Linked DNA regions of Lepisosteus oculatus. The protein of the gene in region 1 interacts with the protein of each later gene in a biochemical or structural test. Links are inferred from orthologs where the notes say so. Each region holds a gene or a part of one and is shown on either strand. Other genes may lie near its edges. The genes, in order: arih2; creatine kinase, testis isozyme.

Evidence for each region.
Region 2: of the proteins of arih2 (region 1) and creatine kinase, testis isozyme, one has a biochemical effect on the other in vitro, tested with the Homo sapiens proteins (2 studies listed by BioGRID). The link is inferred for Lepisosteus oculatus from reciprocal best matches to the Homo sapiens genes ARIH2 and CKB.

Annotation. Positions count from the first base shown.
Region 1 is NC_090699.1:65,600,091-65,615,556, reverse strand, and holds the start of arih2 (E3 ubiquitin-protein ligase ARIH2), read left to right. Parts: upstream 1-9,541; 5' UTR 9,542-9,671; intron 9,672-9,680; exon of another isoform or gene 9,681-9,844; intron 9,845-11,509; 5' UTR 11,510-11,696; coding exon 11,697-11,969; intron 11,970-12,500; coding exon 12,501-12,568; intron 12,569-12,772; coding exon 12,773-12,836; intron 12,837-13,208; coding exon 13,209-13,353; intron 13,354-13,944; coding exon 13,945-14,066; intron 14,067-14,750; coding exon 14,751-14,860; intron 14,861-15,390; coding exon 15,391-15,466. Other genes in the region: rab GDP dissociation inhibitor beta, read left to right, coding at 51-158, 592-688, 1,862-1,996, 2,800-2,998, 3,807-3,938, 4,393-4,492, 5,019-5,190, 5,747-5,891 and 2 more.
Region 2 is NC_090703.1:6,848,097-6,863,925, reverse strand, and holds creatine kinase, testis isozyme, read left to right. Parts: upstream 1-8,327; 5' UTR 8,328-8,425; coding exon 8,426-8,436; intron 8,437-9,921; exon of another isoform or gene 9,922-9,977; intron 9,978-10,824; exon of another isoform or gene 10,825-10,929; intron 10,930-11,949; exon of another isoform or gene 11,950-11,958; coding exon of another isoform or gene 11,959-12,151; intron 12,152-12,677; coding exon 12,678-12,865; intron 12,866-13,052; coding exon 13,053-13,207; intron 13,208-13,358; coding exon 13,359-13,491; intron 13,492-13,663; coding exon 13,664-13,835; intron 13,836-14,345; coding exon 14,346-14,469; intron 14,470-14,617; coding exon 14,618-14,807; intron 14,808-15,079; coding exon 15,080-15,258; 3' UTR 15,259-15,457; downstream 15,458-15,829. Other genes in the region: tRNA (adenine(58)-N(1))-methyltransferase catalytic subunit TRMT61A, read right to left, coding at 4,576-4,964, 5,896-5,903. UniProt on the Homo sapiens protein: Reversibly catalyzes the transfer of phosphate between ATP and various phosphogens (e.g. creatine phosphate).

The DNA.
Region 1 (15,466 bases):
CAGTGCCCACTCCCTGTTCACCACGCCTCCGCCTCTCTCCTCTTTCCAAGGAGTGCATTCTCTCCGGGATTATGTCCGTCAGCGGGAAGAGGGTCCTCCACATCGACCAGAACCCCTACTATGGAGCGGAGAGCGCCTCCATCACCCCGCTGGAGGAGGTGGGTCTGCGGGCGGGGCGGTGTCCCCGGGGGACAAGGGCTTGCTTGGGAGGAAGGGCTGGAGTGCCCTTCTGTGTGTGTGTTTAGAACGGGCCTCTGGCCCTGTGTGGAGCTTGCATCCTCCCATGGAGTGGCTCCGTCGTCCCCATGTGCTCTTCCCCGGAGTCCTGTCCGGGGCGTGTCCCTCCTCCGTGACCTTCACCAGGACTGCGTGGCTTTCAGATGATGTAGGGATATAGGGGTGTGTGGATGTAGGAATATAGGGGTGCAGGGGTGTGTGGATGTAGGAATATAGGGGTGTAGGGGTGTGTGGATGTAGGGGTGTGTGGATGTAGGAATATAGGGGTGTAGGGGTGTAGGGATGTAGGGGTGTAGGGATGCTTTAACAAATAACCCTGGAGATGTCCTCCCCCGCTCCCCTCCTCTCTCTCAGCTGTACAAGAAGTTCAAGATGCCTCTTCCCTCCAAATCCATGGGCCGGGGCCGCGACTGGAATGTCGACCTCGTCCCCAAATTCCTCATGGCCAACGGTAGGAGCCTCCAGCTGGTGGGGGCGGGGATACGTGACCTCTGGCCGGCTGTGCGACACCCCCTCTCACACCTGGACACAGACAACGAGCCTCTCGGACCCTGTGCGCTCTGGGTGGCTGAGCAGCAGAGCAGAATCGTACACACCTGGCCCAACAGGACGTGGCACCCTGTTCCCTGACCACCCCCTCCCCTCATACCACTGCCCGCCGAATCTGCCCAGTCCACAGCTCCCTGGACCACCCACAGCGACTGCCCACACCAGGCACTTTAACCCTGCAACACAACCCACTGCAACATGTCCAGCACCACACGCTCAGAGGACATGGTGTCTGTCCAGCAAGCCTGTTGACTGCATCTCGTGCGGAAACTTCCTGGAGACAGGAGGAAGACTGTCCGGGCTGTGAGGATCAATGATCCCTCCCGACCGACAGTTCCCCGTTTCACCTCTAAGGGCCAGGATCTTTCCGACCTCTCCCTCTGCGTCCTCGCTCAGGGGTTTCGGAAACCCTCTTGCAGGAAGACACCCAAAAACCAAAGTGCCCCTGAGACCTGGATCACACCCCCCTCCCTCCTCTCAACAACAGACTCGTCTCCTTCGCTCAGATCCCGCCCTTCCGCCCCCCTCCTCCCGTTCTCCCTTCTCCCCTGCTCTGTCCTCTGTCCCTTCCCCCTCTCCCTCGCCCCCGCAGAAGCTCCCCATCCGAAACGTTGTGCTGCCGTTCTTCCCCTACCTGCGCCAGTTCCTTTGCAGCCAGCGCAGGCCGACGCAGCCGTGTGCAGGGGTGCCGTGTGCACGGCGGTGTGCAGCCAGCCTCTGCGCTGTGTAGCGGTGTGTAGTGGTGTGTAGCGGTGTGTAGCGGTGTGTAGCGGTCTGCAGGAGCTCTGGCAGGCGCTGACAAGGTCAACCCAGCAGGCTTCTTCAGAACCAAAAGTGAAATATGAAACAAAGGAGACAGGCGGGAACTACGGGGAAGGGCACTTAGAACTGAGCACAGGAGGCACTTCTTTACACAAAGGGTGGTGGGAGCGTGGAACAAGCTGGGCAGCCATGGTTTTGGAGCCGATTCCCTGGTCCTTTCTTGAGATCCTGCTATCAATTAGCTACCTGCAACTGAAAGAGCTGGTGGGGCCGACAGACGTCTCTCTAGGCGTAACATCTTCTGCTGCTCTAGGTCAGCTGGTGAAGATGCTGCTGTACACAGAGGTGACTCGTTACCTGGACTTCAAGGTGGTGGAGGGCAGCTTTGTGTACAAAGCCGGCCGGGTGCATAAAGTCCCCTCCACTGAGGCCGAGGCCCTGGCATCAGGTAACACTTCTGTCTGTACCCCTGCTCCTCTCACTGTCTGTACCCCTGCTCCTCTCACTGTCTGTCTGTACCCCTGCTCCTCTCACTGTCTGTACCCCTGCTCCTCTCACTGTCTGTACCCCTGCTCCTTTCACTGTCTGTACCCCTGCTCCTCTCACTGTCTGTGCCTCTGCTCCTCTCACTGTCTGCCTCTGTCTCTGTGTGTCTGTACTGTGTGCGAGAGGGTACTGCCTCTGTATCTGTGTGTCTGTACTGTGTGCGAGAGGGTACTGCCTCTGTCTCTGTGTCTCTGTACTGTGTGCGAGAGGGTACTGCCTCTGTCTCTGTGTCTCTGTACTGTGTGCGAGAGGGTACTGCCTCTGTCTCTGTGTCTCTGTACTGTGTGCGAGAGGGTACTGCCTCTGTCTCTGTGTCTCTGTACTGTGTGCGAGAGGGTACTGCCTCTGTCTCTGTGTCTCTGTACTGTGTGCGAGAGGGTACTGCCTCTGTCTCTGTGTCTCTGTACTGTGTGCGAGAGGGTACTGCCTCTGTCTCTGTGTCTCTGTACTGTGTGCGAGAGGGTACTGCCTCTGTCTCTGTGTCTCTGTACTGTGTGCGAGAGGGTACTGCCTCTGTCTCTGTGTCTCTGTACTGTGTGTGAGAGGGTACTGCCTCTGTCTCTGTGTGTCTGTACTGTGTGTGAGAGGGTACTGCCTCTGTCTCTGTGTGTCTGTACTGTGTGTGTGAGAGGGTACTGCCTCTGTCTCTGTGTGTCCGTACTGTGTGTGAGAGGGTACTGCCTCTGTCTCTGTGTGTCTGTACAGACCTGATGGGGATGTTTGACAAGCGCCGTTTCCGGAAGCTGCTCCTGTTCATCCTGAACTTCGACGAGGGCGACCCGCGGACCCACCAGGACCTGGACCCCCACCAGACCTCCATGCGTGACGTCTTCCGCAAGTTCGACCTGGGGCCCGATGTGATCGAGTTCACCGGGCACGCGCTGGCGCTGCACCGCAACGACAAGTCAGTACCGCCGCCTGCAGGGGGCGCTCCCCTGCGTTCACTCTGGTTGCTTCAGGGCAGGTGCAGAGCTACAGCACAGACAGCATGCGTTATTTCTAAACCGAGCACTGAGCCCTTCCCCGAGAGACCACTGTTATTCATGCGCCCTTGGACTAACACAGTGATCATCCATGGCCTCCACAGGGCTGAAAAATGGGACGGGAGACCTCTCAGGATAAAACAGGAGGCAGTTGTAAGTGGCGTTAGTGGTTAGTGGTGCAGTAGGAGGCGCCTTTCCTCTGGACGAGAATGGTGAGTGCAGACATTGTGCTGTAGCAGGAGTTGTCCTCCGGGTGAGACGTTAAGCTGAGGTCTTGAACACATGGTCCGAAGAGCCGATGGCAAGGCTCCTAGCAGAAGCAGGGGTGTTAACTCCAGCGCCCCGGCTGAACTCCGCTCTGTTTTCGTCTGGAACTGTCTGGCCTCCCTAAAGTCCTCTCTTGATTCTCCCCCGCTGTCTCCTCCCCAGGCCTGTGTGCTGCGGGGCTGCTGTGTGCTGCTCTTCAGTGGCGGGTGAAGTGGGTCTCCCCCCCGTGTGTCAAGCGCTTTGCTTTTCTTTGGGGTGAAGGATGCTGTATGAGTGCAACTAACTGGAACAGGCTCAGGGGCTTGGGGAGCGAGCACCTGATCTCACCCCAGGGCTCTGGTTTCCCAAGGAGCTCGACCTCTTCAGCCACAGCCAGGGAGGGAGTGGGACTTGAACGGAGATCTTTCCTGCGTGGATCCCTCTCCCTGCCTCGGTTTGTCTCACTGCCCCTGTGTCTCGCAGCTACCTGGACCAGCCCTGCATCGACACCATCCAGCGGATCAAGCTATACTGCGAATCTCTGGCTCGCTACAACAAGAGCCCCTACCTGTACCCCCTGTACGGGCTGGGGGAGCTTCCCCAGGGCTTTGCCAGGTAAGACCCCAGGGCCGAGGGACAGCAGAGAGGTTGCAGATGAGAGTAGCACCATCTAGCCCAGTTCAGGTCCACTTAATCACCCCAGACTCTCACACAGCATGTCTTGGGAGGGTCCTCTCAGCGAGTAGGTCTAGTATCTCAACCTTGCAGGGCATAAAAACATACATGCATGCAGCACAAAATACAAAGGGGACACTGACGCTTCTTAGATCAGCAACAGTCTGCCAGACCTCCTGCAGTAACTGCTCAGAACACTGTCTCTTTCTTCCCTCTCTCTCCCTCTCTCCCTGTCCCTCTTTCTCTCCCTCTCTCTTTCCCTCCCTCTCCGTGTTCCTCTCCCTCCCTCTCCATCCCCCGTCCCTCTCTCTTCCTATCCTTCCCTCTCTCTCTGCCCCATCCCTCTCTCCCCTCCTCTCCCCCTGCCCCTGTCCCTCTCTCTCCCTCTCCCCAGGCTCAGTGCGGTCTATGGAGGGACCTACATGCTGAACCGCCCGGTGGATGAGATCGTGCTGGAGAACGGAAGAGTCGTGGGTGTCCGCTCAGATGGAGAGGTGGGAGAGACACTGGGGGACGGAAAGTCTGGGAGAGAGATCCTGGGGATGAACTGAGCTACAAAAAGTGGAAACTACAGGGAAGAGCATTTCAAACTGAGAACTTTGCTTTACACAAGGGGTGGTGGGGGTGTGGAACAAGCTGGGCAGCCATGTTGTTGAAGCTGAAGCCCTGGTTTCTTTCCAGTGACAGCTGGATGAGATCCTGGGATCAAATAGCTATCCAAAGTGCCCAGATGGACTGAATTGTCCATGACCCGTCATATGTTCTCATGAATGACAGAAGCAAAAAGGATAAAAAGATGAAAGAATGGAATGGAGGCAAAAAGAGAAAGGGAATGAGGCAGGCAGGCAGATGGAAAAAGGCAGAGAGAGGGAGGGGGGTCTGCAGAGGAGACGTCAACTAGGCAGTTCATTTTAGCCTCTAGGACCTGAGCTGGGAGTCGTGCTCTAGGTGAGACAGTCTATCCTTCTTTGCCCTTTATTTTTCATTAAATACCCCCGCCCCCCCCCCACTGCCCCGCAGATGGCCCGCTGTAAGCAGCTGATTTGCGACCCCTCCTACGTGCCGAACCGGGTCAGGAAAGTGGGCCGGGTCATCCGGGTCATTTGCATCCTGAACCATCCGATCAAGCACACGCAGGACGCTAACTCTTGCCAGATCATCATCCCACAGACGCAGCTCAACAGGAAGTCGGGTATGACATCGCAGGGAATCCCGAACGCAATGACGACATCACAGGTTATGTGACCCCCAGGCCAGCAGGCTGTGTAGGTCCACAATAAGTCACCAGTTTCTACAGAGAGAAATAGAAAACAAAATCTACAGAGAGGTAACAATTCCCTTATGAGCAATTAAACAGGTGATGTGTTTAATTAATTCAGAGGTCTTTTAGGACCACAATGTAAGCACTCTTTGGTTCCTAAAGACCAGAGTTCACTTAACAGATTGGTAGACTGATTCATCAGTTATTCACAGTTGCCAATCGTATTCAATCGCGTACCTTGAAGACCAGTGGTCTAGAGCCTTGGACCCCACCTCTCTCTCCTCCTGAAAGTGCTCTGTTTCGTTTAATCATACAACACGCTCTCAGTCCACCTCACCCTGCAGAGCCCAGTGCGCCTTCTGGCCCGATGAGCTGGGTTTTGTCTGAAAGCCCCACAGTAATAACGCCCCACGCCCTCCCCCCCTCCCCGTGCCCCCTGTCTTTCCCGGCGCCCACGCCTCTCGCCCCCCGCCTCTCGCCCGCGCAGACGTCTACGTGTGCATGGTGTCCTACGCCCACAACGTGGCGGCGGAGGGGAAGTACATCGCCATGGTGAGCACCACAGTGGAAACCAGCAACCCCGAGAAAGAGGTGCAGCCCGGCCTGGACCTGCTGGAGCCCATCATGCAGAAGTGAGTGACCACAGCCTGGACACCCCAGGCAGACCTGGCTGCCCAGAGAGGACAGGCTCAGTGACCACAGCCTGGCCAGAGAAACTGGACACAGGCAGACCTGGCTGTCCAGAGAGGACAGGCTCAGTGACCACAGTCTGGACACAGACACTGACACTAGACACAGGCAGACCTGGCTGCCCAGAGAGGACAGGCTCAGTGACCACAGTCTGGACACAGACACTGACACTAGACACAGGCAGACCTGGCTGCCCAGAGAGGACAGGCTCAGTGACCACAGTCTGGACACAGACACTGGACACAGGCAGACCTGGCTGTCAAGAGAGGACAGGCTCAGTGACCACAGCTTGGTTATAGAAACTGGACACAGACAGACCTGGCTGTCCAGAGAGCCCGCATACTGACACAGACAGACTTTCACCAAGAGGTTGCACTGCAGTGGAAGAGGCCCAGACTATGAAAATAAGTCAATCTTTATTTCCTGCTCTTAAGTACTGACGTGTCTTCATGCCATGCGATTGGTCAACAGGTTCGTCTCCGTTAGCAACCTGCTTGTCCCCACCGACGATGGGAGCAAGAGCCAGGTAATAGGTGGCTTGGTAACCAGGGGAGGGGCTTGGCAGCGAGGGGTGTGGTAAACCTGGGAAACCTGCAATGAGAGGAAGGAAGCTGTAACTATCAGAGTGATCAGATAACTCAGGGAGGACGTTTGCAATAAGGGGAGGGGATATGTAAATATGGGAGTGGCAGTTTAGGAGGGGTTCTGTGAAAAGGGGGAGGGGTTCAGTAACTAGTGTGAGGATATATAGGAGAGTGGGAGTGGCCATGCAGCTGGGGGAGGGGTTCAGTAACTAGTGTGAGGATATATAGGAGAGTGGGAGTGGCCATGCAGCTGGGGGAGGGGTTCAGTAACTAGTGTGAGGATATATAGGAGAGTGGGAGTGGCCATGCAGCTGGGGGAGGGGTTCAGTAACTAGTGTGAGGATATATAGGAGAGTGGGAGTGGCCATGCAGCTGGGGGAGGGGTTCAGTAATCAGGTGGGGAGCTGCGTCAGCATGCATAGGCTGCAAAGGAACAAGTAATAGGTTTATTCCATGCTGAAAAAAAAGAAGAAAGAGAACACAACGTTTCGGCCGTGGAGCCTTCTTCAGGTGTCCTTCTTCAAGAGAGGACAGGCTCAGCGACCAAAGTCTGGACACAGACACTGGACACAGGCAGACCTGGCTGCCCAGGGAGGACAGGCTCAGTGACCACAGTCTGGACACAGACACTGACACTGGACAAAGGCAGACCTGGCTGTCCAGAGAGGACAGGCTCAGTGACCACAGTCTGGACAGAAACACTGGACACAGGCAGACTACACCTGAAGAAGGCTCCATGGCCGAAACGTTGTGTTCTCTTTCTTCTTTTTTTTCAGCATGGAATAAACCTCTTACTTGTTCAGTAATTAGTGTGAGGATATATAGGAGAGTGATAATGGCCGTCCAGCTGGGGGAGGGGTTCAGTAACTAGTGTGAGGATATATAGGAATGTGTAATCTTTTTTGCAATTACATGTAATTTGGAAATAGTGGAAAACAGTGGGTCTTTGTCTCTCTCCCCGTCCAGATATTTATTTCTCACTCCTATGATGCCACAACGCACTTTGAGACGGAGTGTGAGGACATCAAGGACATGTACCGCCGCATGACAGGGTCAGAGTTCAACTTTGGCAACCTGCGCAGAGAGCACTGCGATGTCTGTGAGGAGGACTGAGGGGCTCGCGCACGCAGAGACAGACGGAGCGGAACACCGGACGGCCGATGACACACAGCACCGTGGCACGCCGACACACTGACAATGACCTACTGGAACGATGGATAAATGAGCAGCCAGACTCAGTTTACTTAATTGAGAAAAAAAAATTGACAGACAAACAAGGACAGAACCCCCATTTCAAACACTGCTCTTTCTCCCCAGCTAATCTCCCAGCATTCCCATCTTGTAAACTCATTGGTCATTGTGTGGCTCCACCCCAATGGCAGCTGACCAATGGGAATAGCACAGGGTCATGGGCTAGCCCCTCCCTTCTCCCCCTTCAGTCCCTCCCTTCCACAGTGTGTGTTAAACAGAGCCAGTCCACCCCAATAAATGTTTTTGGAGACATGCTGTCTGACTCCCTGGTTTGTTTTGGCTTTAATGAAACTTCATTACAACAGTAGCAGTACCATTAGACAGGGTGGCATTAGTCTGGGGACCATTCCCCACGGGGCAGGGCAGAATAAAAACGTAAACTGGTGATCCTCAATTTGTAAAAAAAGATTTCCCCCATTAATACTATGCATTGACTTCTGTCTTACCAACAGGAGTTTGTGATGGTTTCACCCTGATTTCACTGAGCCTCAGCCTACGTGGCGTTTGTGGAAGGAGAGGAAGGGGGACAGAGTGAGGGACTCGGGGGGTGAAAGAGATGTACTGGGGATTAGCGGAGGCTCAGAGGTGCAAAGGTCACTTATCCGAGTGAAGGACACGGCCTGAGCAGAGAGGGACCCCTCTGCGGGAACAGACTGGCCTGTGAGGATTACAGGCAGGGATTCCTTCGTCAGGCCTTTAAACAGATTACTGTCCCTGCGCTAATAACTAGGCCAGGGACAGTCAATCCCATTAACCCCACGCCTCACAAGAAGCGCCATGCGGACACAGAGTCGCCCTCTCACTCCCCTCTCCCAGGGGTGTCCTGCCTCAGCGGGCCAGCAGAGGAGCCGGACAGTCACCTCTCCGGGCCGGGGCCTGCCCTCCTGAGCCTGAGCTCCAGCCCCAGCACCCTCGTGTTGACACGATGACTTTGAGGGCCTTCTCTTCGAGGACGGCTCAGGCGCTGACGGATGACCGAGAGGTCGAAATCCATGTGGCGCAGAGGAGCGCCGCCTGGAGCGGTCCACACAGGAGGTAAACACCGGGCAACAAGCAGAGCAACGCAAGGGAGCGCAAAAGCAGAACTTTCAAAGGTGAACTGTGGGATTTAAAAACTCCACTGGTGACACGGGGTGTGGGCAGGCAGGGTAGCACAACTTCGCAACAGCTCCAGGGTTCTGAGTGCAGGGTGTGGAGCTTGCATGGATTCGTCCGAGAACAGGGGACACTTCTTTACACAAAGGGTGGTGGGAGTCTGGCACACGCCATTCTGCCGTTGAGGCCGATACCCTGGCGTCTTTAAAGAAACAGCTCGAGGAGATTGCTCACAGGAGTTATCTCCCAGCAGCCAGATGAACTACGTGGGCTGGGTGGCTCCTCTTGCCTGACACCTTTCTGATGGCTGGAGCCCCTGATACTGACACTGACCCCCGACTTTAACTCCCAGCCTATACAGTGCCCCTTAACGCTGCCGTCAATCCAAAAGCCAGCTCCCATTGTGGGCAAGCTGTAGCTTCTCACCCACACCTAAACTTAATGTGGCCTTAAACCTGTCTTCAGCTCCAGCAGCTGAAAAACTAAAAAAAAAAAGTTTATTTTTCTTTCTGGGCTTTAAAGAAGTAACCCGCAGTAGGCAAGAGCTGTTCATCAGGCGCCGTCAACAACACACAAACAGACCCCGCCCACACCGCGATAATCCCCTCCCCCTTTATCCCAGAAACCCCTCCCCCCTTTCCCTGCAGCCGGATGTGACGCAGCGACGAGTTCCCCTTGTGTTTCCTGTGTTCCCTTTTGCTGCAGGTCGGGTAGCGGAACCGAGTCGAGCGCAAGTCGCCGGATCTGGGCCGAAAGTCCGCAGAACGAAACGGGTTGACAGCGGCCCCAGTGGTGAGTGGAGTAGTGGCGGCGGACCGGAGCGGGAGACCCTTGTGGCTAAGGGGGGGCAGCTGGGGAGGGCGAGGATAATCCCCGTGCGGCCTTGTTTACATGTCGATCCCCGAGCTCGGGTCAGACGCGGCGGCGGCCTCGTTGTCCGCTGCGGGAACGGAGCGAAGGTGCAGGTCAGCGGTGGGGGGACAGGGAGCAGGGACCGTACCTTAGAGGGGCCGGGGACTGGTTCTGGGTGGACGTGAGGAAGGGGAGAGGTGGGCTTGTGGGGTGAGGGTCCTCTCTTTGTTTTTACTTTCTCGTGTTTGAGAGCGCAGCGAGTTCGAAAGCGCGATGTAAACAAAGCCTGGCTCCGGCCCCTGCCTCCTGTTGCTGCCTCCCCGCCCGCTGAGCCCTGGCGCGCCGGACCTGGGGAGTCGTGCGTGTTGGCCGGTCGGCGGCTCTATTAATAGCCGCGGCCGGAATGTGAGGCGCGCTCAGGACACGGTGTTCCCCGCTGACCGCTGGGTCCCAGCCCGGACGCGGGGATGCTGGCGGCCTGGATACCCACCCCAGCCGGCGCCCGCGTTGCTGAACTCACACGTCCGGCCCAGAGCGAGAGACGAGCGATGTCTCGTCCGTAATACGTGCCGGGGAGCGCCGGCACGGCCGCGTTAAGGAGACGGCGAGAGAGTCGGGTACCGCTGGAGGTTGGAGGGGGTCTTGTGTTCATTGTCTAGTGGCACAGAACGGACAGTCTAGACCCACCCGTTCGAGACAAGCGTCTGGTCACAGTTTCCTGTCAGGAAGCTTGTGGCACACTTCAGTAGGGTGCTCTTTTCCTTACTGAGTTGACCAGAACACTGGGGGTTGCTGTCATCCTGGTCCCTTTCTTTGGGTTTGGCGTGGTTGGGTTAAAAGGGAAATCGCTACGAGAGGCACAGGCAGACAGCCGAGTCAGCAATGATGATGACAGCGGTGCGTTGTAACCTACTTGGGGCCACCACAGTTCCAGTAACACGTCCCACTTCCTCCTTCCGAGGAGTCCGGGGTCAGACGATCTGGTTGGCCTCTGTCTCGTGACTCATCCGCGCAGTCCTGGCCAGGCGGCTCTGTGGCTCTGTGGTGGGCTGACGTCCTGTCAGAGGGCGCGGGCGGATACCCAAGCACGGTCTCACGTGGCGGGGAAAGAGAGAGCGATACAGCCTGATGGGGACCCTCACGCGGCCGAGTTGCTCACGGCGATTCTCCCTCGTTGGCTCCGAGGTCTCGCCGGCTTTCACGTGTGAAATGTGGCGGCTGTGAGGGGGGGTCGCGGAGGGGGATTGGCCTGGGCTGATCTGCGTGTCCAATGGGGGGGGGGTCCATGACAGCTGCAGTGCGGTTTTATATCCGCCCTGATTGGAGAATCCCGCGCCGCTCCGGGCCGCTTTCGGTTCGTGCCCAGCTGTGGGTCCGGGTGAAGGGGTGGGTGGTGGGCTGGAGGCCTGGTCGGAGTGGACGCAGGCGTCGTTGTCCCGGGCGCTGGGCAGTGTCCTGGTGTAAGGACAGGGCTGCGCCGGTCAGCGCCAGGCTGTGGACACGAGAGCACTCCGAGTCCCCGATGTCCTTAAAAAAACGTGTCCTCACTTGGCTCATCTGGTCAAATAAAGGACAACGAGTACATTTCGTGTTTTTGTGAGACATCAGCATCCCGGTAACACTTGTATTGATGTTTGAAGTATTTGAAGTTGGCTGTTATCGTCACTGAGAACTGGATGAATGTGTTCTTCTCTCTCTCCTTCTCCACTATCTCTCTCTCTCTCTTCCTTTGTCCTTCTGTCTCTCCCCCCCCCCTTGCTTCCCTCCTTCTATCCCAGGTCTCTAATTCCTTGGCAAACCAGATCAGGAAAAGAGAACCCAATGAGTGACGGGGGGTGGGACTTCTTCTGCTTCTTCCGCTGCTGCTGCTGTTGAGTCGCCGAGGCTGCTGGGAATTGTAGTCCCTGTGCCCCAGGGGTGTGGTTTGTAGTTTTGTCTTGTGGGCCGTGTGTGTGTGAGCGAGTGATGTCCGTGGACATGAACAGCCAGGCCTCCGACAGCAACGAGGAAGACTTCGGTGCCAACTCCGAGGAGGAGGAGGAGGAGGAGGAGGAAGGGGGCGAGGAGGAGGAGGAGACGGGCGACATCGCAGATTATTACGAAGGAGTGGCCAGCGACGTGGAGCAGCAGGGCGCCGATTCGTTCGATCCAGAAGAATACCAGTTCACTTGTCTGACCTACAGGGAGAGCCAGCGAGTGCTAGCTGAGGAGGTCAACACTGTGGCTATAGCACTGAAGGTTAGAGAGCTGAAGGGAGGGTGAGGGAGGGAAGGGTGGGGTGTAGCGACGGCAGCTGTTAATCCAAGCAGAGGCTGGGGGCCTTGCTGAACTATATTGACAGTCTGGAGTCTCTGCAGGTCTGGGCCAGGGTGAAGGGCAGTGGGGGTGGCGAGGAAGACAGCAGCTGTTTGAGTCTGGTTCACGCAGTGTCGCAGGAATCATGCGAATGGGACAGACTTGTCTGGGTCGGTCTGTGTGTTTTGGCCCCGACCCCCGACTCAACTATTTTAAATTCCGGAAACTCAAAAAGCATCGAAGGGCATTCAACACACTCCCTCTGAGACAGAAGTGGACTTCTGTTGTCCAACTCTCCGCCTGTAAGCTTACAGTAGCACAGGGCCTGTTACTGGCTGGCTCAGTGGCTGATCTGCGTGTGTATTTAAGAGAGGAAAGGTTGGACCTGAGTCTTCGGAGAAGTGGCGTAAGTAAAGCTGGAGTTACAGCTGAATAGTAAAAAGTTTCTCCCTCTTCATCCTTCCAACCTTCTAGGTTCTGCCTGCTGTTGCAAAACTGGTGCTTGTTCATTTCCACTGGCAGGTTTCCGAAATACTGGACAGGTAAGACCTCAGCTGGACTGTGTCATCTCCCACCGACAGGCCTCGCACAGAGAGCGCCGGTCTCGTTGACACTCCTACACTGACGGCCACATCTTGCTGATAAGCCCACATAGCTGCTCACCTTGTCAGACGCCTGCAGAATATTCATCGATAAGTCCTCCTCTCACCGTTTTGCCTGACCTGTCCGCTGGTCTTGGGTTTCAGGTTCAAGTCCAATTCGTCCCAGCTGCTGTGTGAGGCTCGAGTTCAGCCCGGAGCCTGTAAATCTGTGAGTATGCCTCTCCTGCGTTAACGAGCACATGAACGTGTTTATAGGCGCTTCCCCGGTTAATTACCCTCTTTGCGCAAACGTGGTGAAATGCTGAGCCCTGTAATAAGGTGCAAATACAAATGGGACCTTGGGAGACAGATTCCCAAGGAAATGTGTCGGCATGCAGAAGGCACAGCGTTGCCTCAGCGTGGCCACCGTTCACGATGACTTGACAGACTGCTCAGTCTCTGCTGTCACTGTCCCTTGCGGTGTTTGTATGCACGTCTCATTTCATGACTCCAAGGTGTGCGGTTTCCTTAGAGGCGGTTCTTTGGACGGGGATAAGCTGGGTGCCTGTTCTTACGTCACTTTCTCCCCCTGCCTCCCCAGCTCCCTCCCCAGTCCCCGCAGTGCGGCGTGTGTCTGCAGCTCGTCCGCCAGGACTCCCTGCTCGCCCTGCCCTGTCAGCACGCCTTCTGCAAGGCATGCTGGGAGCAGCACTGCACCGTGCTCGTGAAGGATGGCGTGGGCGTGGGTGAGTGCTCGGTGGGGGGGGGCGGGAGAGAAGACGGATCAGCAGAGAGGGCAGCAGCCCTTCACCTTACCTCACCTTTTTGCTCATTCTGTTGGAAACCGTGTGTTTGAATTCAGGACCGAGAGCCAAAGCAAATTAACCTCGAGTTTCGGCAAGTCAGTAGGCCAGTTCAAGGCATTGGTGTTCCTACTGAATGGAGGAACACCAATTCCTCCATTCGGCAGGAATGGAAATCAGCAGGCACCGGTGTTCTCGGGGACCAAGTTTGGTCATCTCTGTCGTTCACTCCTGGTCCAGGAGGGCCCCTGTGTCTGCTGTTTCTCATTCAAGGACTCTGAGCAGCTTTGATTTGGATCTCTTGTTCACTCAATGTGTCTGGGTTACCGGTGCTCCCTGTGCTGTGCTCATTGGGGATTTTCGGATACCTGTATCCTACTCCCGGTGGACTGCAGCCTTCCAGGATCGGGGGGGTAGATATGTCTGCTCTGGGAGGTGCTGGCTTTGAGGGAGTTGAGCTGGTCCGTCTGTCGGTCAGGAATGTCACGTGCGGCCCCGGACTCGGTCAGCGTCTGTCTGTCTGTCTGCCCCCAGGTATCTCGTGTATGGCCCAGGACTGTGCCCTGCGGATGCCCGAGGACTTCGTGTTCCCTCTGCTGCCGAGCGAGGAGCTGAAGGACAAATACAGACGCTACCTCTTCAGAGACTACGTCGAGGTCCGTCCCTCGCGATCTGCCCGTCTCCCGTCTAACCTGGAGCAGACTGCCCCTCCTGTCTGTGTCTCTGTGACTAGTGCCTCACTCTTCCTCTGTGCTCTTTCCTCGCGTCGTTTTTCTCCAGGCCTGTCCTCTCGCCTCGTTCCCCCTCTCTGATCCTCCTCCCCAGACCCTTTGTCTGGGTCTCTGTCTTTCTCTCGGGAGTCCTCCTTCCCTCCCCTGTGCACGTGGTTCTGAGATGGCCCTGTCTGCACCGTGGCACTGTGCGTGCCTTTGAGATTTCTGGTACAGGCTGTGTAATGACACGCGGCTCGTACCCGAGTTCGGCAGCGTCCCAGGGCACCGAGAAGAACCCAAATGCGGGCGGGCGAGCTAAGCGATCGGAAACGCAGCCCGAAACGCGATCGGAAACGGGCGGGCAAGTTCTTCAACACTGAAGCAGAGCACAAAGGGGAGCTTGGGGGTGGCGTCAAAGGGAAGGTCGTCATGCAGAGGCAGATGTCCGGTACCTGGCTCCCCAGGTCACAGGTGTGTGTGTGGGGGGGGGTAACTGGTGGAATGGATCCTCTCTCAAAGCGGGTAGTCACGGCCGCCGGTTGCCGTGGCAGGAGCGGGTGCAACGCAGCGTGTGCGCACGCGTGTCCCACCGGATCCTGACTGACGCCCCTCCTCTCTGCCTCTCAGAGTCATTTCCAGCTGCAGCTGTGTCCGGGGGCGGACTGCCCCATCGTGATCCAGGTCCAGGAGCCGCTGGCCCGCCGGGTCCAGTGCAGCCGCTGCAGCGAGGTCTTCTGGTAATGCCGAGCACCACGTGCGCACGCGTACACACACACACCCACACACGCACACCCACACACGCACACACACACACGCACACACACACACACACCCACAGCGCTCCCCCCCCCTCCTCGGCACCTTTCTCTCGCAGCGGGGGCTCTTCAGAACCAACAGAGAAGCAGGAGCCCGAGAGCACTGGTGGGAGCTATGTGCAACTGCTTTTTCGAACCGACGGCAGGAGGCACTTCTTTACACAAAGGGTGGTGGTGGGGGGGAACCAGCTGCCTAGCCGTGTTGGTGAAGCCGATTCGCTGGCTTTTTTCAAGAAACCGCTGGAGTGGGTCCTGGCGTCTGTTAACTACTACCAATCAAACCACGTGGGCCAACTGGCCTCCTCTCGTTTGTTAGCCTCGTTACACCCTTATCTTACCTCCCCCTCACTCTCTCTCCGGCTCCTCCTGTCCTTCGTCCTGTAACCCCTCTTTTCTTTTCCTCCGCTCTGCCTGTCCGGCTCGTTTTTCCTCCCCGCTCCCCTGCGCCTCAGCTTCAAGTGCCGCCAGATGTACCACGCCCCCACAGACTGCGCCACGATACGGAAGTGGCTGACAAAATGCGCCGAC
Region 2 (15,829 bases), on another chromosome or scaffold:
CAGCAGGGCGGCAGCGACTGCACACCCTCTCCTGACTGACTGGAGCTCCTGACGTCAGGCTCATCTCTACCGACATGGCGGAGGGGGGGGGTGGGGGGTGGTGTAGAGCCACATTAATGACGAAAAATATAGGGAGCATGCCGTTGCACACAGTCTGGCTCCTCCTCACTTGCACCTCCTGGAGGGCTGACAAGAGGAACACACCGGGATAGAAGTGCAAGAACACACCGCTAGCAGCTGAGGTCGGAGGGGGGACCCTGAAGGACCGAGCGACAGCCGAGCCCAGGACTCCTGCCTGCCACGTGCTGCTCTGGGAGCCCTGACACACCAGCACCTACAGGAGCCTCTGGCTGCACGCAGTGGTAGTTGAATTCTTTCCAAAATAATCCAGTCCAGACACTGCACTCCAAAAAGGGAAGAAGAAAGAACACGGAGCGCTGCTCATGTCTGCTCAGAGTTCCAGCGAAATCTACAAAATCTAGCAGGAACGAGAAGTGCTATAAACAGTGGCGTTAAGCTGGAAGGGATCTGTGGAGCTGTACCTTCTGTGTAGAAGCCCTAGGAGAGCCCTTAGCCTCTCGGTAGGAACTTAGCCACGGTATCTGGTGGCAGGGGCTGTGTTAGGTATGATGGCAATTATTTCATACGTTGTATTTTTTACTTCAAAAATTGTTAACATTGAAAAAAAGTGTCTCAGTTACCCACAGGCCTTGTCAGGATGGACACGTCTAACGAAGTATAAAGCTCAGACAGTGTTAGCTGGGCCCCCCCGAGAACTGCAGGTCTAAGACTACCCTGTAGTTGAGAAACGGTGCTGTGCAGGTAGATATCTTCCTGATAGGACACTGCGGGACCAAGGGCCGGCTCTTCGAGCAGCCACACTCTCGTGCCACTGCAGAGCTCTGTGGGCCGGGGGGCACAAGAGACACCTGAAACCGCAAGCGGAGCTGCTCTCTGGCAGGGTGCATCAATTATGAAAGAGAACTCTTTGGGAACATGCACCCGGATACGACAGGCAGGCTGTCTTTTTCACATGGCGGGGAAAATGCAGAAAATCCTGACTCTGAGCTGGAGTATGGAGCACACCTCCCTCACTCCTCCCTCTGCTCCTACTACACTCAGTGGAACCATCCACGGTCTCCTCTGTGTATTGTTATTCACCTTGTTGTTTCACCTTGTGTATTCTTCGTATTTTTTGCCGTTGTCATTCTGTAAAGTGCTTTGAGAAGCCATCTTTAAATGGTGCTATATAAAAAAAGTTTATTATTACTACTAGTCAAGAAAGAAGCAGATTATCAGCCCTTTTGGCGTTTTTCATCTATTGCATGCAGTCTGTAGAAGGCTACATTATTAGTTTTTATGGTACTGAACAAGAAGGGACTGTACATTTTAAAAACAACTTTTACCTCTCATCCAAATTTTTCCTGTGCGCGTATACTCAGAAATCAGCCCTGCTCAGAAGAAAAAAACAGAAGTGCCCTTGAAACCTATTGTGAACAGCTGTCGATATGAATAGAAATCATTACACTCGGGATTATTGCGTTCCAAGATCCAGCTTGCCTAATCTTCGCCTAATTAAGTCACCTGCTACGCAGTGCTGTTAAATATCTCTTCGGCTAACTGATAAAAATCAGAACTTGGAGGACGTCCAAGCTTCATTACGTTCTGCAAATATTTCAGACCCACACAGATTGGGGGGAGGGGGGGGGGCTGGCTGAGAAGGGCAGGGCACAGACAAGGGCATCTCACACAGCACCAGGGAGCAGTTCTCCTGACTCTGACAAGTTCTCAACATTATCGGCGTATCACACATACAACTGCCATTATCCCCGTGCAAAGAGAAAATGTCACCTGATAAAGATATTGTCGAGGTTTGGGCACTCCTGGTGTGCGTTAGCCCCACACAAGGCTGCGTTACCAAGGGCTTTGCTACAGTATCTAGATTTTTTTTAATCCAGGCCTGGGACAGCCAGCTCTTACTCTCTCAAACTCAAGACCTTGTCAGCTGCTGCCGACCTTCAGCTGAAATCCCTTAGTTCTGCTCTGAGCCCCCCCCAGACTGCATGGAACAAGGTCTGCATGCTCTCCCCTTCTCCTGAGCTCCGGCCAATCACAGGGGAGGAGCTAAAAGTGCCGAGTCAAACCTTCAGTGCACCAACATGAAGGATGTGCACGCTGACAGCCAGTTTAACGTGATGCTGCAAGGGCGGTGGATTTTTATGAAAGGGTGTTTGCTCTTGTGCATAAACTGCATCTATGTTTGTTATCGAGGTGCTCGGTTTCCGAGAGGTAACGGGCTGGGTATTTCACTCCCCTCACTGCAGCAGTTTTGCTGAAAAGCAAGCAGTGTGGCAGCCCATCTGTGCATCAGATTTATTCACCCGGAGCCGCTGCAAACTGTGATTTTGACAATTCAGCTCCTTGCCGCACCTGGGCTTTGTTTGTCCCTGAAGAAAAGTTACATAAGCCCTGACATCACCAGCGCTCAAATGCTGTTGAAGAGCTCTGCCACGCCACAGTGATCTTCAGTTTTTATGTCCCGGCATGAAACTACCCTGAGAAATAGCATTAAATAAATCTGTAATAATGAGTTAGTAAACATATGTTAGCTTCCTTCTTGAGTAGAGTTTTTAGAAAAACAGTGTACAGTCTATGTGCAGCTTTTCAGTACAGCTTCTAAGACCCTCCCAAGGCAAACTAAACTGGATCACTTGAGCGCCACATGGATTTCTGTCCCTGACAGCTACATAATGATCTTCAGCCGCTTCTTCATAAAGTGCTGCCGCAACACTTTCACTCCAAGCATCCACACGGTATCAGCCTTCTAAAAAAAGGGCAAATATAAACCGTTTTCAAGCAAAGCAGAGTAATATTCTTCACGTGCATAACAAGGTTATAACTGCAGGCTAATTTCCAGCATTAATAAAACCAGCCCAGAGAGCTGCAAAGAATAAGGATCAGGAAAGAAACGATGGCCTTTTTTTCCTGAAGTTTTATTAATAGTGAGCTAGGAAACTAGCGCACAGGGCTGTTTCATTAATAACAGTATGGCAAGGACGGACTCCTTCTTCAGGGAGAGATGGAGAGCGGCTAGCGGGCCTCCGTGCTGCCTGCAAGGCAGGGAGACACTGCGGCTCTGCGGCCCGGCCAGGCAGCTGTGGTCATCCATTATCCTCCTACACAGCTGTCACTGCAGCTGGAGGTCGCTCCCGGGCTCCAAGCGGGAAATATTTCACAAGAGGCTGTGAAACCCACCGAGAACCTGCAGTGTGCGCCAGCCAGCTCATCCTTACTGCTGTGCCACCCAACGTGGGAAAGGTGCGTCCTCTGAGCGGAGCGAACACTACGCCACGACCTCCGGGACCCGAGGGTCCACTCTCCATGCGCTTACTGTCCAGGCCTCTCGATTCAATCAGGCGAGCTCGAAACTTGCGGAACACTTCTAACGGATTGAATCTACCCCAGCCTGACTTGTGGAGTCCACAGAGCTGGGGAGAGCGTGCTTGAGGTTAAAGGTCTTGGAGAGAGAATTAGTTTAAATCGCTGTACGTACATGACATGGTATGTCCATGAAGCAGTGCTGTTTACACACTAACTACACTGTAATTACAAGGCAACGCCCTGGTCAAGTGAATGACACATTAACACAGAGGTTCTGGTAATGTCTATTGGGGTTCGTTCTTAATCACAGGCTAATTGATTTCAATGCTAGGCTTTAGGTGGGTTTTTAAATTTTCATTTATAGAGGCAAGTAACAAGACGGGTTCAAGTTCTGCTCTAAAATCTCCTATCACTTGTCATTTTTTATTTGTCCTTCATTCCAAATTACCCCAGCTCTCTGCAACAGTGCCTCAGAATTCACAATGTCATTCTGCCTTTGCTACCCGAGTATGAGGTCACTCCTTTGCGTCTAAACTGCTGCTACTATTTTGCTTCAAGTCAGCCTCAGGGCTCGCTCTTAAGCTTGTTCCCAAAGTCTTTTCCGACATGTTTACTCAAGGTATTACTCAAGGACACATGGCTAAATCCAGATCAAACTCCAGTTCACAAGATAAGCCTCTAACCTTTGATATGGGTTTCTTGGAAATAAAAATCCCCTTCGATTTTTTTTTTTTCGAGGAGGAGTCGGCAGAGTTAGTCACTTCTGGCGCAGCCGAGAGCCTCCAACGACTCAAACTTTCACCCCACGCAGACGTTAGGGATCCTAATCTTGAGGCCTCACTTCCCCGATCACTGACTAACAGTTATACAAAACTCAAAAGTGTCAGTTTCACATCATGGCTCAAGAAGGGAGATCAACGCTCCCGTCCCACTCCTTCTCAGTCCATTTCGGTTTTTAACGAGCTCCACCCTCCTGCGATGAAGACCCCCCACGGCAAACAGCTGATAGCAGGAGAGCCTGATTTCTTAATCGCGACCCCAGCGCCACGCGCCCCCCCAATCACCACATCGCCGGAAACCTGCTGCTGGCCGAAAGGAGGAAAGGAAAAGGTTAAAACCTCCCAGGCTGGGGAGTTTGGGGGGGGGGAGGGTGATTTCCCGCAGAGGAAGGTGGGAAGTTCGCCTGCGCCGCACCTGACTCGCAGACGACGGAGCCCGGCTTCAGCTCCAGCATCATGGTGATGGTGGCGATGTCGGTGGCGTACAGGATCTGCGTGCGGTGCGGGAGGTTGAGGGTCCACAGCTCCGGGGTGGGGTGCAGGACGTACACCCAGCCGCCCTTGCTGCAGGTCACCTTGGACCCGTAGTGCTTCCCGATCAGGTCCGCGGAGTGCCGCAGCGCGCCGTAGCGGGTCTGCGTCTGGCCGCCGCGCTGCACCTTCACCGGGAACATGGAGTCGTGGCCCAGGAAGACGATGGCCGTGTCCCCCTCCTGGATGACATCGCCGTACTCCACGAAACTCATGAGGGGGAAGAGGTCCAGGCGGTCAGCTCGCGTCCAGCGTACAATCCCGTTTCTCCTTCTGCAGTGAACAGAGAGTGAACTTACGACCTTGGAATAAAACGATCTGCCACATTCGAACTATGCAGCATACCGCACATTCAGACTGAGACTTCAGAGGTGCGAGCCGGTGTCTTCCCACCTTGAGCAGATGGCTCAAGAGAACATGAACTCCAACTCAAGGGCTTACAGCTTCTTAAAAAAAAAACAACAGCTCACAACTGGCAGCCCACTGGAGCTCAGCAGGTGTGAGCCTGGCCAGTACCTGGATGGGAGACTCCTGGGAAAACTAAGGTTGCTGCTGGAAGAGGTGTTAGTGGGGACAGCAGGGGGCGCTCACCCTGTGTACTGTGTAGGTCCTGATGCCCCAGTATAGTGACGGGGACACTACACTGTAAAAAGGTGCCATCCTTCGGATGAGACAAAACTGAGGTCCTGACTCTCTGTGGTCATTAAAAATCCCAGGGTATTTCTAGAAAAGAGTAGGGGTGTAACCCCGGCGTCGGGGCAAAATTTTCTCCTGGCCTTTATTGGTCTTGACCTCCTAATAATCCCCATCTCTGAACTGGCTTCATCACTCCGTTCTCTCCCCAGAGAGCTGATGTGTGGTGAGCGTACTGGCCCATCGTCCAGGTGGGGGCGGAGGGGAGTCCCTGCTGCCTTTGAGTAAGCGTCCAGAAAAGAGCGCTATATAAGTGTTAAGAATTAATATTATAACAGAAAAAGAAACACCTTCCAGCTGCCTCGTCTGGTGAAGAGAGGAGTGTTCTTTACTCATCTTGGTTTGTGAGTGCACCTCCTAGGAGCATCCATGGATGCTCAACTTCGCCTTACAACAAGAAATCAGATCAAAGGTGGCTTAGTGACAACGCTGAACATCTCGGCTTACGCCACTTTGAAGGAAAAAAAAGAGAAAAATCACTTCTGATTGTGATAATAAAGTATTTACCCACCCACACATATACTCCGGTAATACAGGAACAAGTTTTTCCAGTGCATAGAGGAAAGATGCTTTCCGAGACTTATGGGGCCAAAAGGCGGAAGCTTTTCTGGGAAGAATTTTCTGCTTCAGAGAGCAATCTTAATGAAGGCAGCAAGCCGACATAACTTGATGCTATTTTAGAGAACACAATTTTCAGCTCAGGGCTTATCTGACGCACGGTTGCACATATCATAAATTTTAAAAACTACCAGACTCGCTACACGTATATTTACTGGAGCATCTTCCTCATGGGCTCCAGGTGCGCATCCTCCTGTGTAGAAGACCTCCTAGATGTTTAATGGCGAAACCGCAGAGCAGGGGGACTCCGAGAGCGGCCGACCCACAGCCTGGGGGTCCGAGGCTCACGTCTGAGGTGTGGTGGCGATCGTGAGGAGTTTGTGGAACAGGCGAATCAGTGCCAGGACTCCCTCGGGGCTGGGCGCGGCTGGCCACGACCCGCACAGCGGAGAAATCCCCGGTGCCAGTACTACCGGTCTCTTGCGGCAGCAGAAGTCAGCATTCTGAGGGGATTCAGGCCCTCTTAGAGACCGCGTTACACTGAATGTCCCCCGTTACACTGTTTCTTGACCGTGTGGGTTTTTACCCAGGTGCTCCGGCTTCCTCCTGCGGCTCAAAGACATGGCGCCCCGGGTGGGCGGGCGTCTCTTAACGGCTGCCTGTTCGCTCGCCTGCGCGCGCCCTGCGAGGGACTGCTCCCGTTGGAGAGAGAGTCTTTATCATCCTCCCCAGGGGGGCAACTTGTTTTTACAGTGGTAGACCACATCAAGAAAACCCACAAACCCACAACGATGCTCATGGAGGTACACTAAAGAATCGTTTGTTAAGCCAGGCTACGGCCACAGGTATACATGAGAACCTTTTTTTAACTTGGGAAAACCTGTATCTGCGTTCTGAGGGGAGTAACTGGAATTCATTCAAGAAAGGGCACGAAAGGTCCTTCAGGGTGGAACATGCTTTATGCAAGACTCGTAACTGGGAGTTAAAAACTGGGGGACGCGGGACAGGGCCGAAAGATCAGCACCAACGACTTTCTGAAACCGTCCGACAAACACTTCCCGGTTTGCTCTCAGCCCTGTTATTCAGATTCCCAAACCAGCGAATCAACAGTAAAAGATTCAATAAAAGACTTGGAAAACATGATCGGCAACGAACTGTAAAACGTATGACTCAAGATGCACTCTAAGAATACAGCGGTCGCTGACTCTGCGTGGACTGATGTTCAACGACGACATTTAACATCAGCACAGTAACAATAATAAATGATGGCACGTTACTGTCAGGCCCCTAGGGACTCTCCCCTCTGCTGTAAAAAACAATGTCACAACAGCCCGAGCTAATACAGAGATGAACTGCTGACAAATCATCACCAGTATGATAAACCACTACTGAAAAATGCCATTTGTTTTGGCAGATGCCCGCCATGATCAAGCAGGTTAATACGTTTTAATTTTGCTATCCAGTTAAATAAAGGTATAAAGACCGTGATTAATGCCTTATAGCCAACACAGCGGGATGGGTTTAGCCATGTTTAAGCTGTCCTGTTCAGACAGCCACTTGAAGCAGCCCCCCTGTTCACTGGCACTGTGGGAGCCCTGTGGGGGTGCAGTTCAGGCCCTAGCTTTGTAACCCTAAAGCTGGGCATGAGTACACACAGGTGAGCCCCTGCTCTTATACTCTTGGGCAAAGGCCTTCACTCAGAATGCTCCAGGGACATGCGCAGCCCATCACTGTAAAATAAGAGGAAGGTCTCAGATGACACAGCTGGTTAAATAAAAATTAAATAAAATCAATTACCCTCGGAGCTTGTTTCCCCACAGCTATACTGAGCAGACCCCAGCCTGTGCTCCACACTGCCCAGCTCTCAACGAACCAAGCTAACTCACCAAAAGAGTGGGATTTAAACAAAAACACTGAGGGTATGCGAGACCAGACCACCAGGGAGACGAGGTTGAAACCTTACTCAGGACGTTGCCAGAGCCACAACGTGCCGGGCATGAAACGATTTTTCTGCATTCGTTCAGTTGTCACCAGGGGATGTTGCAACACCCTCACGTACCCAGTAACACGTTACAGCTACGTTACTTGTGGCATCGCCTTAGGCCACTGATCGCCGTGACCAAGCAACGAGGCTCCCCTGCCACACAGTCAGGATTTTTTTTAGTCTTGGAAGTCTTTTATAAAACGATTACGTGGGGTGGGGTGGGTGGAAGCACTTCGCTGTAAGTACAATTACCTGTGAAGTCAAGTCGCCTTCAATCATGGATTGGACCATTTAAGATGCTGTGTCCATGGATACAGCGCCCGCGGGCGCACGAGCCTGGTACCGCACAGCTCGCGCCCGGGGGTCTCTTGTTGATTTTTATATTTTCAAAACGGCACCTGGAGGTTCTAACCGACCCCCGTTTTTCAAACGACACCAACGGCTTCCCTTAGTCTCCCCAACCCGACGGCAGGCGGTGAAGCTGCACTTTTCCCGCAAGATGAAAGACCTGTGAGTTCACGGAGACTTTCTCATACCGATGTTTCAACGTCGTCGTTCAAATACTAACTCCTACTAATCTCACCTCCAAATATATAAAACAGCCCTTAATCGAAAAAAAAGACCTTTTAAGTCATTTTGTTTTCGGCAAGGTGACTGCGGTAACTACTTTCGACGGGCTAAATTTAATATGTGTTCAGAAATTGTTTTCAAGTAATACACAGAGATGTCGCGAAACGTAAATTACTTCACCTCACATAATCGGTTTTGAACTAGTTTTCAAACATTGTGTGAAAATGCTAAAAAGGTTTTTTTAAGCTGTTCTCGTGCAAAATAATTAAAATTTAACGGCTATGATAGACGTGCGTTTTCCGTTTCGTCAATTTCCCTGTATTTGGTGGTGTCGTCACTCCGTGCAGCCTTGGTCCTAACTGACCGTCGGGCCCTTCATCGATGGAGCAAACTGCTGCTTTTAACGTTTGTTCAGACTTTTCGTCTCCATGTTTCCTGCACTCAGGGCCTGGTCTGAATTCCCACGTACCGTCTGTCAACCCATGGAGAACACAAACCCGGGAGCGGCCTCTCCCCATCCTGCCTGTTGAGAATATGCCCCGTTACCCCTGAATGACCAGCCAGCTCTGGACACGATGGACAGACACGAGTGGGAATGCCCAAATGTGTATGGCACAGTCCCCCCAGGGTGACCTCTTCCGTGGGGCTCGACTCGGTTGACATTTCGCTTGTCGACGGCGGTGAATGAGCGGAGCTCCGATACCGGTACACCTCATAGGTCCGGTTCGGCTGTAGGAGCCGAGAACTGGGCCGGGAGAAAGCGCGCTCCCAAAACGCGTGTTATTCCGCGGTTTCGCGTTGTCCACGATGCCAAGGTTTGGTGGTGGAGGGAGACGGTTCTGTAACGGTACCGGTACCGAGTTCGGCGTCTCGCGGGCAGCTCCCCGGACCTCCGGCCACGAGCCGTCTCGGCACCTGGAGCCTGGGACAATTTCCCAAGCAAAACTTTCCGCCTAGCGAGCGGGGAAAGTTCCAGAAAACATCGGCTGCCCGTGTTCCTGTGCTTGGTTTAGGATTAAAATTGTTTTTTTTTAAAGAAATGTTACTTCTCTGACACCGAACCCGACGGGACGGTTCCGAGATGCCTTCTGATGTCGGATTAGCTGCATAACCCGGTGTTGGGAATACGCAGATAAGAAAGAGTAAAACAATAATTACACGAATACTCGGGCTTTTAAATATCAAACTCTACTCACAATGAACCCTAAGTATTGGGAATGTACGCCGGAAACCCTGTGAACAAAATACAACAGAGCTTGCATAGAGAACACTAGCACATTCACACGTAAATATAGGATTCCAGTTAAACTGTCCCTCCCGGCCAGTAGTTTGTATTTTACACCAAATAAGCGATATTTGAATTCAGAGTTTTAAAGGCTATTTTAAATATAATTGTTTGCTTGCTTCAGCCACCACAGCACTCACCTGGGAGAAGACACAACGTGCGCGATCTCCGTCCCCAGTTGATGACGTATCTGTGTCTTAAAAAGACAGTACGTTTATTTAAAGGTCAAAGCCTTTCTTACAGCTTAAAGCTTTCTGAAAGGTCTGACTGAAAATCATTTGGTTATTGATGTATATAGCAAAATATTTGGCGCAGTATTTGTGGTTCCTCAAATGCATAAAATATACATGTTATAAACATGGATGTAATCTATTATAATGCTTAGAAAAGCTTGCATGTGGTCGATGGGCTTTAATAAAAGGATTGCCTCAATCTCCGGTCAACAAGATAAATCATTTTGCAGCAAATCATCTAGTTGTTGTATATGGTAGCCAAACGAAGAAACCTTCGTTGTGCGCCTTGGGCCAGTTGACATCCTCATGCAATTGTATTTATGCGGTCAGTTCAGTTTATGTACAATTTTGAATTTCACTATTTGTTCACTATTTGGCTAGAATAGCACTATTTTGTGATGAACATTATCGACATCAAGAGAGATTATATAGGCTGGGCATTAAATATTCGATATTAAGGTAAAAAAGATGTTCAATAAACCTGAACCACCCAAATTCTTATAAATAATACATTTTATATGCAAGATGGTGTAAGATAATTCGTTACATGTATTGCTAGGAACACATGTAGCACAAACGACAACAGTTGGTATTTGTTTTATTGTTTAACATTCTAAAGCAAGTACAATACAGCGAGGTTTTACGTATATTTATCTAACATACCGAGTATTTTGAAAGATACGCGTCACTGGATCTGAAAGCTACTAACTAGCCAAGCGCGGACAGTGCTGGCTTTTAGCCCTTCTCCAATAGAATGAATGGACTCCAAATAGCAACCAATCGGAGGCGAGCGTGGATTGTATATAAAAAAGATCTCGGGTGCGTTATTCTGGACACCAGAGTGAGGGTTGGTGTGCTCATTCCAGGGGAGAATAAAAAGGAGTCTATCTTTGTTTCCAAGTTCGGCATCATCGGGTAAGGCGGACATTGCTATTTCTAAACCGTTTAATTTAACGCGCTTTAAATACCGTTTGGATTATTTATGTAAAACGTCATTTTTTTTCCCCAAGTGCGACATTACAAGCTCGAGAAATGGATACAAATCGTTCGCAGTTTATACTTGTATGTGAGGGTGAACAAAGACTTGGTTTCAATGCCGTGGAGAAAGTGTCGGCGGTGCACTTGAGTGACAGACGCCGAGAACCGTTGCTGACCCAGTTACAGTCCGAGCTCGTAGGAGCTGCACTGGAATCGGTGATATTTTAAAATCTGTGCTGTGAACCTAAATCGTCATCCTGCACTATGCACTTCTGGAGATCACTGCTTGAATGCAACAAGGATTCTTGCCTTAATTAAAAACGCTAGCAAGCGGATAAGACCATAGACCGGAATAGACTGTAGCACTGCCGAGTAAGATTTTTAAAACCTTACCTGCGAAGTCCTTGAAAACGCCGTTCTGTATGACAAGGTATCTACGATTAAAGAGAACAACGATTTAGTTTCTCGGATTACTTTTAGAAATCAAACAATTCCGTGCCTGATACAGCTGATTAATCGATTCGATTAATTCCCCCCCTAATTTATGTACAATTCAACTTGAAAAGCGCAGTCAGCAAGTATTTCCAATGTGGAAAGAAGACCTACAAATACTGCGCCAGACATTTAACCCTTCTGTCGCACAGACACGGGACACTGCGGTTTTCAAACGAGTAGTTTGATTCACAGTAGTTTGTGTGGCTGCTGAATTTAATTAAAAAAAGCTTACTTTAAACTCTAGTCACAAGAATCATTTATCATTTAATGCATTTTAAATGTTTAACAAATTATGCTCGTTGATGGTTTTAAAGGGATACCACCAGTACGGTTACTTTTTGTGCGGAATATTGACTCAATATTGTAAACCAACCTGAACAAAAGTTTAAATCGTTCCACAGAACTTGCGAAATCGTTTTTTTCCCCCGCTGTAAACAATCTTTCCCCCCATCCTGCGCCCAGGTGGTAACCATGCCTTTCGGTAACACGCACAACATGATGAAGATGAAGTACTCCACTGATGATGAGTTCCCAGACCTGAGCAAACACAATAACCACATGGCTAAGGTGCTGACTCCGGAGGTGTACGGGCGCCTGCGGGATAAGCAGACTCCTAGCGGATTTACACTGGATGATGTCATTCAGACTGGGGTTGATAACCCAGGTAAAGATCGGAGCCGCTTTCCTCCTTAAAAGCCATCTGTTCTTCTTCCTTAAAGTGCTGCTTCCAAATGGCACAAAGGCGTTTACCTGTCGCCGCCTTGTAAAGTCGGATACATTGTAAGCTTTATCCAGTTATCGCAGTGACCTTGCCAGAGGTTACCTTGATGGTTGCACAGAGGCTACCCTTGTAGAGACCTTAGCAGGGGGAATGGCTGTTGTCCTGTTACATCACTGCACTGTTCTCAGAGCAAACATTGTCAAACGCCTAATTTCAGGAGATTAAGAATATCAAGATGTATGCCGAGAACCTTGCCCTTGACATTGGGATATCGATAAAACATTTTATTATATCTTTAGATGAGGCTAAACTAACGATTTTACTAACCTCTTGCACTAACGTGTTAGTGAATAGAGGGCTTGATGTCAAGGTGTGTTGCTGTTATGTTCTAAAAGACCCTAATCAATGGAGCACTTTAAGGTGGAGCAGGTGGCTTTCCTTTACCATGTAGAATTTTGTTGTTGTTCAGCAATAGTAAAATGGCCACACTGACCATCAAGAGGCTGTCTGCTGAGATGGAGTATCCTGACCTGAGCAAACACAACAACCACATGGCCAAGGTCTTGACTCTGGATATGTACAAGAAGCTGCGAGAGCGCTCTACCCCTGCTGGATTCACGATAGATGGTGTCATTCAGACTGGGGTTGATAATCCTGGTAAAAATGAATTCCAGACTTCGCTTTTAATATTGATAAGCTTCATCTGTAGCGTCAGTGTATTTAATACTTCAGTTTGTTAACCTTAATTGAGCTGTAACTTGTGTGCGAGTCAGAAGCACTTCAGCATTTATGCAAAGTCCCTTTGTTGAGCAATTCATCCCAAAAGGAACTTTTCATTTCGCAGGCCACCCTTTCATTATGACGGTGGGCTGTGTGGCAGGTGATGAGGAGTCTTATGAGGTGTTCAAGGACCTGCTGGACCCCGTGATCAAAGACAGACATGGGGGCTATAAGCCAACTGATAAACACAAGACTGACCTGAATCCAGACCATCTGCAGGTGACTTTACTAAAGAATAAATCTTTGCGCACTGGAGGTGTCGGCTGGGATGTTCCTCTTGTCTCTTGCTAGTGGGTGTTAACTTGTAGCAGTTGTATAGGGCTCCTGGACTATCTAGTAAAACGCAGAAAAATCTCTGGACCTCTTGCAGGGTGGGGATGACCTGGATCCCAACTATGTTCTGAGCTCCCGTGTCCGAACGGGCAGGAGCGTTCGTGGGTTCTGCCTGCCGCCTCACTGCAGCCGTGGAGAAAGACGGGCCATCGAGAAACTCGCAATTGAAGGTAAATCTCCATCTTAAAGACTTGAATATCAGTTGTCAAGTTTAAACTGTGCAAGTAGCACCCTCTGGCACATGCAAGTGGCATTACAATTTCAGACTTACTTGGCTCTTTCATATGTGTTTGGCAGTGGTTAAGCATCCTAAAACAAATATTCATTTGCTCTTGTTTTAAGGTTTAAGTGCCCTTGATGGTGATCTTAAAGGAAAATACTATGCTTTGAAGAACATGACTGAGGAAGAGCAGCAGCAGCTGATTGATGACCACTTCCTCTTTGACAAGCCAGTCTCCCCTCTGCTGCTGGCTTCAGGAATGGCTCGTGACTGGCCTGATGCCAGGGGCATCTGGTGAGCATTGAGGTGCACTATGAACACAGTGTGAAACGTATGCATTTGGGGTAAAAAAGTGGTCAAGACTCTCCAATAGCTAAACAGTTTTCACTTATTTACATTGTGGTTTTGCATTTTGCTACAATGTCAAACTAGCCAAGGCTAAAAATTAAATGTTAGACCATTTAATGATTTCAAAGCTTGTGAATTTGAAAAGGACAAATGTGGTATTTTACTTATACCCATAATCTTTTTCAGAATGTTAAGCCATGCAAATCTTTTGCAGTTGGATGGATTTGGACAGTGCTGTGGAACCTGAATGCTTACCAGTAATCATTGTAAACTCTTTGGGAGGAGTTGCTTGATTTATTCAATTACCAAAAAGATATCTGGTAGTTCTTGGATTCCTGTAATGTCTATTTGGGGTCAGTGAACAAGGAACACATTTCCCATGAGTTCTTGAATGAGCTCTTCATGGAGTTTCCAAATCCTGTTCAGATCTACAGTTTGCACTTTTTTTTTTACCAGGCACAATGACAACAAGACTTTCCTGGTCTGGGTGAATGAGGAGGATCACCTCCGAGTCATCTCCATGCAGAAGGGAGGAAACATGAAAGAGGTCTTCACTCGCTTCTGCCATGGGCTTACCAAGGTAGGTGTTACAGCAGATGTCCTTGACTTGAACCCTAGGACCTCTTGCTTTTTTGTGTGTACTGGTTTCTGCCAGGAGTGTCGATAGGTGATTAAACAAGATGAGGGATTTGAGCAATGAGTTACTTGAGCGTTTTTGTCTTTTCCAGATTGAATCCCTGTTCAAGGAAAAAGGCCATGAGTTCATGTGGAATGAGCACCTGGGATACATCTTGACTTGCCCCTCCAACCTGGGCACTGGGCTCCGTGGGGGTGTCCATGTCAAGCTGCCCAACCTGAGCAAGCATGAGAAGTTTGGAGAAATCCTTAAGCGACTGCGACTTCAGAAACGTGGAACTGGTCAGTGCTTCTCTTTATATTGGGCAAATTTGATCTTAAAGGGTTCAATTCTTTCCAAAAAGGGAAAACTTGTAATTCTTTGAGTTGTATTTCCTTGGTTAGCTTTAAATCACTTCTAAGGCAAGAATGTTTCTTCCTGTCTAACTTGCAACTCGTGAAGTTTCTTACTGACATCTCATCAATGGCAGTATAAAATGCCAGTTCCCTGGCAGAGAAAGTTATCACCTGTCCAAGCTGAATCTGAAAGCCTGTTGTGATGGTGCTCTTCTCAGGTGGCGTTGACACTGCAGCAGTGGGAGGAGTGTTTGACATCTCCAATGCAGACCGCCTGGGCTTCTCAGAGGTGGAGCTGGTGCAGATGGTGGTGGATGGGGTGAAGCTCCTGGTCGACATGGAGAAGCGGCTGGAGAAAGGCCAGTCAATCGATGACCTCATGCCAGCTCAGAAGTGAAAATCTCTGGACTCCCTTCAATCAAACTCCCCACTATGTCTGTTCAAGGAATACACTCTACCCAAACTTTAGTGGCACAAAAAAATAGTAGACAGGTCTTCCATCAGTATGATAGAAGATTTTTGTACTTGCAAAGGTCTCCCAATGTTCTTTCTGAAAATGGATTGTAACACCTGAAAATAAATCTTGTCCCATGGAATGTTTGGCTTATTTTTAGCAGCACTGTCTAACATTTATATACACCAGAATTTGTATAAAATAATTGAAGTAGCCTCTATTTCTTATAGCAGTTGAAATTTGACAAAGCTAGCAATAAGATTCTGATTTACTTAGATGCACTTCTGGCTAAATAACATAACTGGTAAGATCTCTTGGAACATGTACATCCTTGATAACAGTACCTGTAACATGCATTGCTCTATCAAGATAAAGTACAGATTTTAAGTGAAAGCATTTAAAGGCTAAGACACATTTCATCAATCATAATGCTGGAATTGAAGATGGGATGCAAAATGTACACTGCCTCACTTTTAACTCCTCTTGCAATATTCCCTCAAGCAGCAGAGAGCCA